Pelodiscus sinensis: one gene and its partner. The protein of the gene in region 1 interacts with the protein of each later gene in a biochemical or structural test. Links are inferred from orthologs where the notes say so. Each region holds a gene or a part of one and is shown on either strand. Other genes may lie near its edges.

Region 1 (7,768 bases):
GGAGCCTGTGTGTTGTGTAGTCTTGCCTTAATCTTTATATTCATGCCTGTCAGTGTGAATGAAGCTATTTGCATATATTTGCATATATTTTTGCATGACTATGCAACCACACTTAATTTGTGGCCCTTGGCATGTGCTGTGAGTATCATTGTGGCCCCTGGGGCTTCTAAAGTTGAGTAGCCCTGCTCTAAGGGTATGTCTGCATTGCGAAGACAAACCCACCGCACAAGTCTAAGCCTGGTTCTGCTGACCAGGCTGATGGGGCTTGAACTGGGGGGGCTATAAAATTGCAGTGTAAACATTCAAGACTCAAGTGGATATCCAGTCTCTGAGCCCTGCAGGCCCAGCCTGAACCCCCATGCCTGCCCTGCAATTTTTAGCCCTGCAAGCCCAAGTCAGATGAGCCAGGCCAGCCATGCAGTGGGACTTTGGTTGCTGTGTAGACATAGCCTGATGCTCCTGGTACCTCATTTGATCTAACAGAACCCCCATAGTCAGCAAGTCCCCAACCCTGGTGCTAGATCAGAACTAGTGGCCTTTGGAGGGCCAAGGCCCAGTATCGCATTCCCTGTCCCCTGCATTTTACATACATGCCAAAATCACATTTTTCAAAGGCCCCACAATTGTCATCACTTCCTGCAGCCCAGGGTCAGTGAGGTCAGAACCCAGATGCACCAGCTGAGTTGCGAGAGAGGTGCAGGGAGGAGCCTAGTGGGGCAGGGCTGGGATAGCAGGGTTCTGTAGGTCAGGACAGAGGGACACCAGCGGACTTGGGGGATTCTTTGGAGGGCTGCAGGCAGAGGTATATTAGGAGTTTGGGGACCCCTCCCCTCCCCTCCTGCCTGCAGTACCCTCAGCACTCCTGCAGGGAGCATGGGGCACTCATTTTTCTAGGGGGCAGCCCAATTGGCTGGAGTAGCTAATCTACCACGGACTACAAATCAGGATTGAGGACACCAATGGAGATGGGGGATCTTCAGGGGGTGGCTGCAGGTCGTGACTGAGAGACACCCATATTGCTGGGGGGATCTCATGGGCGGGTTGCAAGTCGGGACGGAGGGACACCCATAGAGTGGGGGGGATCCCATGAGGTGGGGGCTGCAGGTTGGGTTTGAGGGACACTTGTGGATCTGGGGATTCCATGGGATGGGGGCTGCAGGTTGTGTATGAGGGACTCTAATAGATCTGGGAAATCCCGTGGGGTGGGGGCTGTAAGGTGGGTTTGAGGAGCCAGTGGGTCCTGTGGGGCACCATGACTGCAGAGTGACACTCACTGTTGTTGGACTTGAGGTCACGATGGATGACAGGTACGATGGCCCCACAGTGCAGGTACTGCATGCCTCTGGCGATCTGCACCGCCCAATCCACCAGCACATGGGGGGGTATCCTGCGCCCGGCCAGCGCACGACTGAGTGGGCCCCCGGCTGCGTACTCCATCACCAGGCACAGGTTGGGCTCCTGCAGGCAGACGGCCTTGAGGGCGATGATGTTGGGGTGGCGCAGCATGGCAAAGAGACGGGCCTCCTGGCGTACGCTCTCTGCTGTCGCACTGATGTCTTCATCTGGATCCTGGCGTGCTGCCTTCACAGCCACCAGCTCACCCTTCCAGGTACCACGGTACACCTTGCCGAAGCCCCCCACCCCAATCACCTCCTCCAGCCGCAGCTCCCGGAAGTCAGCGTGAACTGGACCGTCGCCATAGCCGACGGGCTGCAGGGAGACGTAGCTGGAGGGGAAGATGCCCACTTGGCTCCGTACCCGGCCTGCCCACCAACCTTCATCACCGGACACGGTGGCATCCCATGACAGCACCTCCACGCGGTCCCCCTGGCGCAGGCTGAGCTCGTCACTGCCCGCTGCCTCATAGTCAAAGAGTGCTGTCCACACTGGGTTGGCGTAGGCTGCTCCGCCACTCCGCTCGGGCCCCCAGGCACCCTTCCGCAGCAGGTTCTTCAGTGGCTCCATGCTGGGTCGTAGGCTGGTGGAGGCTTCTAGTGAGCCCCTGCCCAGCTGGGGCCCTTCACAACACAGGCATCTTCCTAGAAGGGTGCTGTAAGACCAGGCTGAGGGTCCTGGCTCGCAGGGGTCTCCCCAGATCAAGATGATTATGGGACAGGGAAACCTGCCCACCTACAGGAGTCCCCTCCCATCTGGGAATCAGGATCCTCCTCTACAGCCTAATCCCCCCCTTGCTGGGACAGTTACACTCTACTCCCACTGCCAGGGGCCACAACCATCCCCCGCAGTCTAGTCCCCCCACTCAGGGCACAGACTTATTCTCGCCTATTTCCCTCCCCACACACAGGGGCCAGGGTCAGACTACCACCTGCTCCCCCCACAGGGGCTAGGATCGTTCCCTACAGCCTGCTTCCCCCTACAGGGACCAGGTTTACCCCCTACTTCCCCACAGAGGACAGGGCCACCCCCTACCGCCTACTTCCCCCACAGGGGCTAGAATCGCCTCCTCCCACGGGGTTAGGATCGCTCCCTACTCCCCACAGAAGACAGGGACACCCCCTACCGTTTACTCCCCCCACAGAGGCTAGGCTTTCCCCCTACCGCCTGCTCCCCACCGGGACAGAGAAGTGCCCCTCTGCCTGCGGGATCCTCTACTCCGATCTAGCTACGGCTTCCCCCCGCCTAGCCGTGCCCACACTTCGCTCCCTCCAGCTGGCCTGGCCCTAGCTCCGTCCCAAGCCGGAGCACAGCGGGGAGGAAACGCCTCGGCTTGTTGAAGAAGTTCCGCGGCTAGAAGCCGCCGCTCCTGGGTCCGTCTCTTCGGCAGGGTCCCGGCCGGTCCGGACGTGGGAAATGCCTCTGCCTCTCGGTCACTGGGCGGCTCCGACCCCACAGAGAGCCGGTGGGTTGGGGGCTCAAAGATCGAGAGTTTGCGACGGCAGCTAGAGGTGGCCTCTTCTCCCCGCCTCTCATGGGGTGTGCTCCGGATCCCCCAGCGCAGCGCCCGCTGGCCTGGCCCGGCCCGTCTCCCCGCCCCCACAGGGCACTAGGGTGGAGTCTGGAACCAGGAAGGCGGAGCGGGTCACATTGTTACCGGGACAAAGGAAAAGGAACAAGAGTGGAGACACAGTTCAGGAGTCGGATTAGACTGGGGGAGGGGTTGGGAGCCAGAACGCCTGGGTTCTCCGCTCTGGGAGCGGCAGGGTTGGCGGAGCTGCGAATCAGCACATTAGGCTCTAGCCCCAGCTCTAGGAGGAAATGGGTCTGGTGGTTAAAACAGGGAGGGGGCTGGGAGACAGAAGGCCTGGGCTCCTGGGCACCTTCTTGTTCCTGACTCTGTGCTCATTCATGAGTCGTCCAGAATTTACTTTTCTGTGGCTGCAGTGAGTCCCCCTGTCAAGGTGCCCAGCCAGGAACTGCAGCTTTGTCAGCTGAGCTCCCATGGCAGTGCCCAGGCAGGGACTCTGTCACTGTGGGTTCCCCCTCTCCCGTGCTTGTAACTGTGGAGTTGTGAGCTTCCTCATAGCAGTAGCCAACAATGGTTTCCATGCAGTAAGCTTCCTCAGTGGCAGTGCCTGCCTAGGAAGTGGCAGGGTGCACAGTTCACTACCACATTCATAAATCCATGCATACTAAATTCAGCTGAGTTCCCTTGGGAATGGCATTTTCTGGGGGATTTGGGGAACTATTCTTGGTTTCCTGACTGCTGGGCCATGCTAAGCTTCCTGGGGCCTGGACTGTCTCAGACTATTAGTGTGTGAATTAGAATAGCACTGTGCAGATCCTGACAGAGATCAGGACCATGTCATGCTAGACACTGCATAGACCTTAACTAAGAGGGGAGTCTCTATTTTACTGCACACTGTATGGACCCCCATAGTGATAGCGCTTGACTGGGACTCAGGACTCCTGGGTTCTACTTTTGGTTCTGCCATTGCCCTACTGTGGGACCCTGGCTAAGTCCTCTCCCTCCCACTATTTAGACAGTGTGCTCTCTGGGACAAGGAGTGTTACTCACTTTGTGGAAAAAAACAGCAAGCAAATGGTCGGGTAGCACTTTATAGTAGAGAAAGCTACAGCAATTCATATTCATGTTGACTATATATTTGAGAGCGGATGTGCATCTTTCTGTCTGCATGTCCTTCCATCCGTGAGTTAGTTTGTTCAAGAACTCCTAAATGGTAAGAGCTAGGACCACCAAATTTGGTATGCAGCTTCCTCTTATAATTTAAAGCAAGGTCAGGGTTTGGTTGGGCCAGGACAATGGGGTTTGTGTCGAATACAATTGTTTCTCATCACCTGGAAAGGGAGGGGTGTGATAGCAGGGACAGTTATTCTCATTAATGATTTCAGGGAAGCAGCAAGCACCCCAGCCCCAGAGAGCAGCTGCTGACTAGCAGCACGGCCCCTGCCACCCCAGCCCTATGGAAAAGCTGGTGGGCAAGCTGCATGGTCCCCACTGCCTCAGGGGAGAAATCTGCAGCTGCCCTCCCCACCTCCAACCCTCTGCTCTGACTCCTGCACTGACTACCATGAGCCCCTTGTCACCCCCAATCCTGATTCCTGCACCCCCACATCACCAGCTCCCTTCCCTGAGCCTCTCCTCACCCACAAGCCTGACTCCTACACCTTCAGCCTTCTATACTGAGCCCCTCATATCCCCCAGACCCTGCCTTGACTCTTGCACCCCCTCCCCCATACACCCAGCCCCAAAGGACCCGAGCAGTGCCAGGTAAGTCTTCTAGTAATAAATAATAATTAACCATCAATCTTCATTACTTCCTATTAGGGCCTGATCCTTGGGCATCTCTCCATTTACTTCCCCTCAGCAAGGGGGAGAGGATGAGTGGTATGCACCTTACTTATTCCTAAGCCCACTCAGTCTGACTCAGTTTTCAACCATCAATACCCAAGAGGAGCCCTGTATGGAATACTAGCCTACTATAGCAGCTGGCTAATAGTGATATGGTTGGCTTTTTGGATGATGCCTAGGAGTTGGGAGGAGTTGCTAGTTCTACTGAGAGCCTCTGCTGGGGCAAAGAACCCCCATAGTTGAGGCCCTATCTAGAGCATCCAGTGCCTGCCAGAGCCCCATGCCCTGCCTAGGATCAGATGAAGCAGGTGTGAAGAACGGCCGCCTGTGAAATGCTCCTGGAAAGCTTGTAGTTCACTTACAAATCCAACGCTACCAGCTTAGGCTCGAATAAAGCTCTTAACTGGCTACACAAAGGTAATTTCCCCCTTTGGATAGTCGCATCAAATTCTGGGAAGGAAACACTCCCCCCCCCAGCCTAATTAGCCTCAGCAACACCGCTCCTACACCCGCTGTCGTGCGTATCTCCGCACTCTGCAACCCCCACTCCAGCTGACGGGAGGAAGTGGCTTTTACAGAGCGCTCACGACTCAATAAATCTGTTAGTGCAACATGACTCCTCGCTATTCTATTTGGTTAGGATACGGAAGAGTCACGCCCCCAATACACCCCTTTAAGCCTTCCTCAATTCTCACTGGAGGAGTAAAATGTCAATCAAACAGCACAGTCCATTAGGAATTAAGATTATACTTCCGTTAGAGCGCGCGAGCGAACGCCTGGATTTGCGCACGCGCAATTCACCATCCTGTATCTACCCCCCCAAGGACCTTTTTAGAACGCTTTAACTTTTGTGCGCGAAGAACGCAACTGGAAGAGGAGGAATGGCGTGACTAAAACCTGTTGCGCATGCGTGAAAGAAGTTCCGCAAAGTCTGCTCATGCGCCCAGGGGAGTGTGGAGCAGTGCACATGCGTATAGAGGACACAATTTAGTACATGCGCAGTGCTGCTTCAGCCGTCAGCCGTTTCTGAGTTGACCCACGCACTTTCACTTCCGCTTCCTGGCTGTGTGTTAAGGGGTGATCGGCGCATGCGTGCTGCTCTTGCTGTTCCTTTTGCTCCCTGGGCTCCTCTTCCGGCCTCCCCAGTTTCCAGTTGAGGTGCCGCTGCTGGGTTCCCTCTGCGCTCGAAGGGTTCCCGGACTGACCTCTGACCCCGGAAGTGAACAAGATTTTTTTTGGGGGGGGGCCCTTTAGCATTTCTGGGACGCTGGTGGGAGCCGCTCGGGCTTGCTCCGACCCTCCCACCCTCGGGTCTCCCGACTGCCCGGGCCCGTCACCCGGGTTCCCCACCCTTGCTCCTACCTCGGCCCCTGCTTGCGTGGGTTCCCCTGCCCGCCAACCATCCTACCTGGGTCCCCACTCACCCCCGCCCGCCCTTTTTCCCTGCCCCCCGCTGCCCTCTCTACAGGGCTGTGCTGCCCCATTCCGGTCTCCTCCCATCATACTGGTAGCCTCCTACTGGGGGGTCCCACCTTGACACCGTGTTGCCCACACCCTTTCCTGCCCCATTCACCCTACTGAGGCCCCCTATCCTGGGCTGCTGTTCAGTGACAAGACGGGGGCTGCCAGCCTGTTCCCCAGGGTGTCCCTCTCCTGTGTCTCCAGTTGGTCCTATCTCTGCTTGAGCTTGCAATCCCCACCACTAGAGAGTTAGTTCCCTGCCACCCTACCTCCTTCTTTACCTCCTCCACAGTTTAATTTAAATTTCCTTGGACAGTGGAGATAACCCCCCTCCCTCCAGCAGTCATAATGGCATGAGCAAGAAAAGGGTGAATGTGGAGGGAGGGGGGAAGCTTTTTGCTGTGGAGGCAAAAGGGCACGTTGGATGGCTAGTGAGACTCCACAGCAGTAGCTGAGGTTCTCAGGGGTAGGTGTGTGAGGTGCCCATACCTGCTGAAGGAGGGCAGCCTGGTTTAACTAAGAGAGGAGTGAGGTAGGATTTTGGGGTCCCAGGCTGCAGATCATGGGCTTTTAGTTGCCTTGATGAAGGATATTGCAGGTGCAAGCTTGGCAGTCACGTTCCCTGAGCAGGAGGAACGGGCGGAGGGGGAGGAAGAAGAGGCACCACCGTGGCCATGGGCTCGCAGGTGCTGCAAATCCTGCGCCAGGGCGTCTGGGCCTCGCTGACAGGCGGCTGGTTCTTTGATCCGCACCAGAGCACTTTCTCCAACTGCTTCCACCTCTATACCTGGATCTTCCTGCTCACCTTCCCTTTCCTGCTCTACATGGTGAGTCAACCTCAGGCCCCTCACTGCAGATTGGAAGTTAGGCTCCTGACCCTACAGCCAGTCATGCATGTCACTTTTGGTAACCTGGGATGTGGGGTCCTGGCATTAATGCCCCAACCTGGGGTCCTTTCCCAGTGTAAAAGCCAAAGGATGGGAGAGGAAGTTGAGGTACTGATCATGAAGTAAGTGGCCCAAGATCACCCCACAGGTCATGGCAGAGCTGGGGGTAGAACTTGAGTCTCTTTTACCCCTGCTTTGCACTGACCTGTAACTGTAACTTTAGGACCTGATCCCCAAAGCTGACTTTCACCTGGAGGCAAGCTCCCCTTGCCACTGAGCATGGCACAGAAATTGGAAGCTGCTGGGGGACTCTAGGCAAGATGTCCCATGTTATTGCTGGCTGAGCCTTTAGCAGAGTGGAAGATGGGCATGTTGAGATTCAGAGAAGGATGGTGGGCTTGTGTGTGGGGAGCAGTATACTTCTGTTCAGCCCTCTTGCCTGCCTCAAGTCGAGTCCCATCCATTCTAAGTATCTCACTTTCCTCATCTGTATAAAGAGGAGACAGACCCTGCCTTTGCCTGTTGATGTTGTGGCTATTCTGATCACTGTGTCTGTGTGGCTCCTTGCAACCCTCAATTGGAGTTGGGGAATCTGTGCAGTGGTGGTGGCTCTGGCCATGGCTGGAGAGAGGGGTCAGAGTAGCACCTA
Region 2 (7,152 bases), on another chromosome or scaffold:
CATCTCTGGTCCTCAAAATTCACCCCAAGTTCAGAGATGTCAGAATTGTTTCCATGAATCCCAGGAACCTGATCCCAAACTCAGGGCTCCTGGAATGATTTTCCCTAACTTCAGAGACCTCTGAGTTCTCCCCGCTGTGTCAGAGCCCTGAGATTTCTCCCCATACAAGGTCTTACTATTCCCAGCTCCCTTTCCTATTAAAAGTTGCTTCTTGAGCATTTGGACTCCACTTCTGGAGACCTGGACAACAGAAGGAGATGACACCATGCTCTTCCTTCCCTGGGTGTTGCTGTTTACATTTGAGAGGACAGAGCCCAGGAGACAAATGTTGTATCTAGGACAGCAGCACACAGCAAGCCTGAGACTGTCACGGGACCAGGCTGAGCTTTGCTGCTAGACTCACATTATCCAGCTCTGTGGCTGAGACTCTTCCTCATGGTGGACCCTTCCAGAGGCAGCTTGAATTGTTTAATTTGCATGCAACACGCCCCCATGTTGCATGCAATGGCTTCAGACAATTCAAATAGGCAGCATTAGAACTAAAAGGAAGAGAGTGGGCTACTCTTTGCAGAGCCCCATAAAGCTGTTTAGCAGAGGAAGCACTAGAACCTAATGACAGTATGCACAAGGGCTCTCACCCTGCCTTACAATGTCCAAACACCATGCCAGCTTCCCCTCAAAATAATGGCAGATATTCCCTTTCCCCAATTCTCAGACTCCTAGACACATCACAGAATTACATGTGAAACATTAACCTCTGATAACAGCATTTCTCAGTATAAGTATATACAATACAGTACAGGTCTCATCTCCCTACCCAGCTCAGACTCAGTTCTAGGCTTAGTGCCCCACCATTCATGAAACACACATCTGATAACCAGATGACACTTGCTCAGAATTTCAGAAAAACAAACTACATCAGCCCCTCAAATCACAGGAAAAATAGTGGCATGGCCTATGCAAGACCAAATATCAGGTGCTGCCCCCTGTGCACCCCTTTGCTAATTCAGCTCTTCAGAAGTCAAACTGGCAGGCATCCTGCCACCCAAGCCTACCTGTATCCTTATCTCAGCTAGGCAGCTGTAGGTTCTGCTGTCCCCCTCTGCTCCTATCCCTGCATCTGCCTGGAGCTGTTAGGCCCATGTTGTGAACAGCTTCACAGCCTTCAAATTAAAAGGGCTCTATGTCCCAAATAGATGGGGGGTTTTGGTATTTCTGAGAGGATCGGTTCTAAATCTGCAACACTCTCCTGGGTTTGTTTTGTTTCAGGTCTGTACCTAGGAGCATACACAGGGGTCCTGGTCTCTGAGGTGACATAAGAAAGAGGAAAGAAGGAGGAAGGAAGTATTTCCTGGGGAGGAAATCTGTTTTGGGGAAGGGGGTGTGTTTTTTGGCTGTGAAGTCTTCTGTGTTGGAGAAAGTGTGTGTGGGGGAGAGAAAATGGGGGCAGTTCTGGGGCTTCCATGGGAAATAGGATTTGGAAGTAGTGTGGGAGGAGATGACTGGAAGTAGGTGTGGATGGTTGGGTGGGAGGTGTTGGGGAAGCATGAGTGGGAGGTAGGAGGGGAATATAACGGGAGGGTTCCAGGGTCGGGGGTGCTCCAGGATGCTGTGGCGAGATTTCGGGTTGGAGAGGGGATGCTTGTGTGTGCATTTCCATCCCTCCCTCACAACACACACACAAAGCCAGCAGGAAAAACACTGCCTACCATGCAGATTGCCGCTGTGCTGCCCAGAGCCCAGCCCTCCCCACTGAGCTGCAGGGCGCAAGCCTTCGCCTGGCTGCCCGAGAGAGCAGGAGCGCTCCCCGCAGACCCCACCTGTTCCAGGGCACACGGCTCCTTCGCAGCCCCGAGCAGGGACGGGGCCTGACCCTCTGGCCGGGGGAGGGGAGGGGTTACACTGCCCCGAGCCAGCTGTGGGGCAGGGAGACGGGACCCGGCTGCCCCAGGCAGTCATTGTTCCGCCCCGGCAATACAGCCTGTGCATGCCCGCTCGGGGGAGGGGGTGGGGCGGCCTTTGCCCCTTCCCTCGCCCAGCCTCCTCGGTGGGGAACGGGCACCGCCGCAGCTCCCAGCCTCTGCCAGCGGCCGGGGGCGCAGAGGCGCCTGCAGCCTGTGCCCACAACGGGGATCGATGGGGGGGGGAAGGGGCTGCGCCAAAGATCTGCAGCGACCCCCCCCAGGAAAGGGACAGAGGGGCGGGGGCGGGGAGGCTGCGGTACCTGAAATTGGGGGGCGAGGCGAGGTGCAGCCCCAGGAAGGGAGAGGATCCGGCCGGGGACGTGGCTCCTTTCTCTCGCTCCGCCATTCTCTCTCTCCATCAGGCGGAGGGAGGGGAGACGGATGCTGCCGACGCTGGCAGGGGAGGGCAGAGCGGGGCCGCCAGGCAGGAATTCACCTGCGGCAGGCCCCGGGGGCTGGCAGCCAAGGGCGCCGCTCAAAGCCGAAGCCCCCGGAGGCCGAACTGCCCGAGAGGAGCCCCCAGGGGACTGCCGCAGCCTGGCTCCCCCTCCCGCCGGGCGAGCTGCAGCAGGTCGACGGTGCCCAGGAGCCCCACGCGGGAGGAGGAAGCAGCGGCTGGGCGCGTCCTGCTCCTCGAGGAGCGCCCGGGACAGGCGGCAGGGAGGGAGCGGGGGGAAGGCAGGAGCAGGAGAGAGGGGATGGGCTGGCGAAGGCTAAGGAGAGGAGGGGAGGGAAAGGGAGGAGCGGAGGACGAGGGGGGAGGGGATTGGGCTGGGAAACGGGATCTCGCAGGGAGAGGGATGTGTGGGGCTGGCAGTGGGTGAGGATGAGGGTGGCAGCGGCTGAGGAAGAAGGCTGACAGGTGATGAAGCGTCCTACTACTCTCTGTGAAAGGCTCCTAGTGAGAGGAGTGGATGGGTCCTTACATAAAAGCAGGTGCAGTCCCTGACCTCTTGAAGATCCAAGGAGTAGGAGGGGGAAAAGGAACCAATGACCCTCTCCTACAAAACCGAACACTCCCTTCCCATCTTGGAGACCTCCAGGGTAGCACCCCACTCCTCCCCACCCAATGTCTCAGCACAGCCGTTAGGACTGCAGGCACCAGACCCCCCTCCCTCAACCCACTACTTACAGCCAAGCAACTGCGGGGGCCCTGCAAATGCAGCCGGGGTTAGAGCCAGCAGAGGGGGTAGGCTGCAGCCAAAGCTGCTAGGCAGTAGCCTCCAAGGGGCCTGGAAAGGGCAAGATAATAAAATCAACAGGTATTTTAATTTTCCAGGCTTGCCTGTCCCCTCCCCCTCCATGCCTCATCAGCACCCTGACCCAAACGGGGATGGTAGATCCTATTTTTCAGACATTGATGAAAGCAGAGTTTGCCCTCCTGAAGCATGCCTGTCCCTAGAGATGGTTGAATTACTGCTACTCAGGAACTGTTTGCATTATGGTCACAGCAGGGGGAGGTTTAAAGCCAGATTTCAAACAATTTTCATTGAAAGAAAGAGGTGGAACCATTTCTATTCATGGCAGGGTCCACTAACCTACTATTTCTACTCCTTGCTCTTTAAACTATTTCTACTCCTCCCCTCCTTTAACCATACCACCAGGTCTAGAAAAAACGCCATATTGAGTCCATGCTGAGATGGCATTTAAATCATTTTCATAACTTTAGTAGCACTGCTTAAGGAAATAACATACATGAAGCCTCTTATGGAGCGTGGGGAGCCATCCGGCCCTGAACCCCCATCTGCAGCCAGATGTGACTCTCAGCCAGCAGGCAGAACAAAAGGTTTATTGGTTCACAGGGTACACAGGAATTGGGAGCAGTCAGTACAATCCATTTTGGCAATAGAGGGGCCCAGAGCCTCCCAAGCCAGCTAGATGCCCTCCATCCTGATTCCTAAGCCAGCTGATATTAACTCACAAACCCAGCAACCAGTCCCAGCCCTGCAGGCAGCCCCGCCTCCCTCTTTGTCCAGCTCCCGCCCCCTCTCAACAAAAGATGTTACCTGATTGCATCTCCCACCTAGGCTCAGATTACAAGACAGCCTGAGCCACTGTGTATGTGCTGGGCTAGGCAGCCTGGAGCAGCCTCCCTCAGTGAGGGTGTGTCTAGACTACAGGATTTTTTCGAAAAAGGTGGCCTTTTTTCGAAAAAACTTCCCGAGTCTAGACTGCCACCATGTTCTTTTGAAATTAAATCGAAAGAACACAGCGGTTTTTTCGACTGTGGTAAAGAAGAGGTTACTTACCTCGTAACTGTAGTTCTTTGAGATGTGTTGTTCACATCCATTCCAATTAGGTGTGCGTGCGCCATGTGCACGGATCCCGGAGCTTTTTTCCCTTAGCAGTATCCATAGGGCCAGCCAGGTACATATCCGCACACATATGTCCCTGCTGGCCCCTCCACCCCCTCAGTTCCTTCTTGCCAAAGTCCTCTGACGAAGGGGAGGTGGGTGGGATTTGCAATGGACATGAGCAACACATCTCGAAGAACTACAGTTACAAGGTAAGTAACCTCTTCTTTTTTGAGTGCTTGCTCATGTCTATTCCAATCAGGTAATTCCCAAGTCGTGTCCCCGGCCGTGGGGTCGGAGAGTAATGATATCTTTCTACAGATTGCAGCCCTTCCCACAGCTGCATCTGCTCTGGCCTATTGTGTAATGGCATAGTGTTCTGAGAAGGTATGTACGGAGGACCACGTGGCCACCCTACAGATGTCCAGGATAGGCACTTGTGCCAGAAATGCCACGGATGTCGCCTGCGAGCTCGTGTGGAATGTGCTCTCAGTGGGGGAGGTGTCTTACCACTCCATGGTAACATTCATGAATGCATGAGGTGATCGAGGAGGATAAGCACTGAGCTGAAACTGGAACTCCCCTCATTCTTTCTGTGATGGAAATGAAGAGTTGTGATGACTTACGGAATTCCTTTGTCCTGTCTATATAGAATGCAATGGCTCTCCTCACATCCTGGCAATGCAAAGCCTGCTCTCTGGTCGTCTTGTGTGGCTTAGGGAAGAACACAGGTAAATGTCCTGGGATATATGGATATAAGATACCACTTTAGGGAGAAAGGCCGGGTGAGTTCGTAGTCTGAACTTAACTTTAAAAAGACTGTGTAAGGGGCTCTGAGGTAAGAGACTGTAGCTCTGATACCCTCCTGGCCAAGATAATTGCTACCAAGAATGCCACCTTCCATGACAGATGTTTTAAAGAACAGGTGGCTAATGGTTCAAATGGTGGCCGCATGAGTCCCTTAAGGACTACCTTAAGGTCCCATGGAGGAATAGGGGGACGTATATATGGTAATAGTCTATTGATTCCTTTCATGAATCTTTTCACCATGCTGTTAGCGAACACTGACCTTCCACCCTCCCTTGGTGGACGCCCTGGTGTCTGAGCTATAGTAGATAGTCTAATATTAGAGGAATATTGGCCCTGATTGAGTCAATGCCCCTTTGTTGTGTCCACAACGCGAATCTCTTCCACTTGGCTTCATAAAGGGCTCCGGTAGATGGCTTTCTACTCTCCCTTTGGACCTCTTGTGAGTACCTTGGTTCTAGGTTAGAAAGCCACTCAGGTTCCAAGCTCTAAGGTGGAGGGCCGTCAAGTTCAGATGGCATAGTGTCCCCTGCCCCAGATCTTGTGTGATTAGATCTGAGATTAGGGGTAGTCGAACCAGGTCCTCTATTGACAATTCTCTCAGGGTGGAGAACTAGTGTTGTCAGGCCACCTTGGCAATATCATGATGACCCTTGCCCTGAAACGCCTGACCCTGACTAGAGTGTCCTGTATTAGTGGGAACAGAGGGAATGCATACAATAGCTGAGTGGGTCATTGTATACGTAGAGCGTCCCCTAAGGGCCTGATTCCCTGTCTCATGAAAGAAAAGTATTTCCGGCACTGGGTACTGGTCTTGGAGGCAAACAGGTCCAGAAAGGGATAGCCCCACCTCTGGAAAACCTTCTCTAAACTATCTCTCGTGAGCATCCACTCGTGGACTTGAAAGGAACGGCTGAGTCTGTCTGCCAGATTGTTGCTGGACCCGGGAAGGTAGGTTACATGCAAGTAGATGTTCCTGGATATGCACAATTCCCAGAGTTTGAGAGCTTCCCTGCACAGGGGAGAGGAATGAGCACCCCCCCGTCTGTTGATGTAGTACATGGCTGACGTGTTGTCAGTTAACACCTCCACCACCTTGTTCTCTAGATGGGGCAGGAATCCGTGACATGCTAACCTGACCACCCTGAGCTCTTTGACATTTATGTGCACAGAATTCTCCTTCAGTAACGATAGTCCTTGTGTCCTTAGGGTTCCCAAGTGGGCTCCCCACCTGACATCTGATGCATCCATCACTAACTGCACAGATGGGGCTTGCTTGTTGAAAGGGACCCCTGCACATACTACTTCCTCCTGTGTCCACCAGTCTAGCGAGCATAGTACTGATTTTGGGACAATAACCACCATGTCCAGAGGCTGTCGCACTGGGTTGTGGACAGTGCTTAGCCACCCCTGCAGTGGATGCAGTCTGAGTCTGGCATGCATCATGATGTACGTACAGGCTGCCATGTGACCCAGCAGTCACATACAATTGCAGGCCGTGGATATGGGGGACCTCTGAAGGCCCACAATCACTGATCACATAGTCTGAAATCTGTGTCTGGGCAGAGATGCTGTCTCTGTTGTGGAGTCCAGACAGGCGCCTACAAATTCTATTACTTGTGAGGGGATTATGGTGGACTTTTCCTCGTTTATTATGAGGCCGAGTTGGAGAAACAGTCATCTGGTGTTTGAGATGTGCCTCATCACTTGTTCGAGACGACCCCCGTATTAGCCAATCGTCCAGGTAAGGAAAAACATGTATGCCTTGGTGCCTCATAAAGGCTGCCACTGGTGCCATACATTTGGTGAATACACTCAGCACCGTGGTGAGGCCGAAAGGTAGGACTGTGAACTGGAAGTGCTCGTCACCCACTACGAATCTGAAGAATCTCCTGTGGGCAAGGATCACTGTAATATGGAAGTAAGCATCTTTTAAGTCGAGGGCAGCGTACCAATCTCCTTTCTGGAGGGAGGGGATGATGGAGGCTAGGGTGACCATTCTGAACTTAGTTTTCCATATGAACGGGTTTAGATCCGTGAGATCTAGAATGGGGCGAAGGCCCCCTTTTGCTTTAGGGATGAGGAAA

Evidence for each region. The genes of interacting proteins can lie anywhere in the genome.
Region 2: the proteins of MAP3K11 (region 1) and MAPK8IP1 form a complex in vitro, tested with the Homo sapiens proteins (2 studies listed by BioGRID). The link is inferred for Pelodiscus sinensis from reciprocal best matches to the Homo sapiens genes MAP3K11 and MAPK8IP1.

The regions. Positions count from the first base shown.
Region 1 is NC_134721.1:35,926,190-35,933,957, forward strand, and holds the start of MAP3K11 (mitogen-activated protein kinase kinase kinase 11), read right to left. Parts: upstream 3,015-7,768; 5' UTR 1,966-3,014; coding exon 1,275-1,965; intron 1-1,274. Other genes in the region: PCNX3 (pecanex-like protein 3), read left to right, coding at 6,907-7,059. UniProt on the Homo sapiens protein: Activates the JUN N-terminal pathway. Required for serum-stimulated cell proliferation and for mitogen and cytokine activation of MAPK14 (p38), MAPK3 (ERK) and MAPK8 (JNK1) through phosphorylation and activation of MAP2K4/MKK4 and MAP2K7/MKK7.
Region 2 is NC_134714.1:83,261,702-83,268,853, reverse strand, and holds the start of MAPK8IP1 (C-Jun-amino-terminal kinase-interacting protein 1), read right to left. Parts: upstream 3,017-7,152; 5' UTR 2,324-3,016; coding exon of another isoform or gene 2,311-2,323; coding exon 2,225-2,310; intron 1-2,224. UniProt on the Homo sapiens protein: The JNK-interacting protein (JIP) group of scaffold proteins selectively mediates JNK signaling by aggregating specific components of the MAPK cascade to form a functional JNK signaling module. Required for JNK activation in response to excitotoxic stress.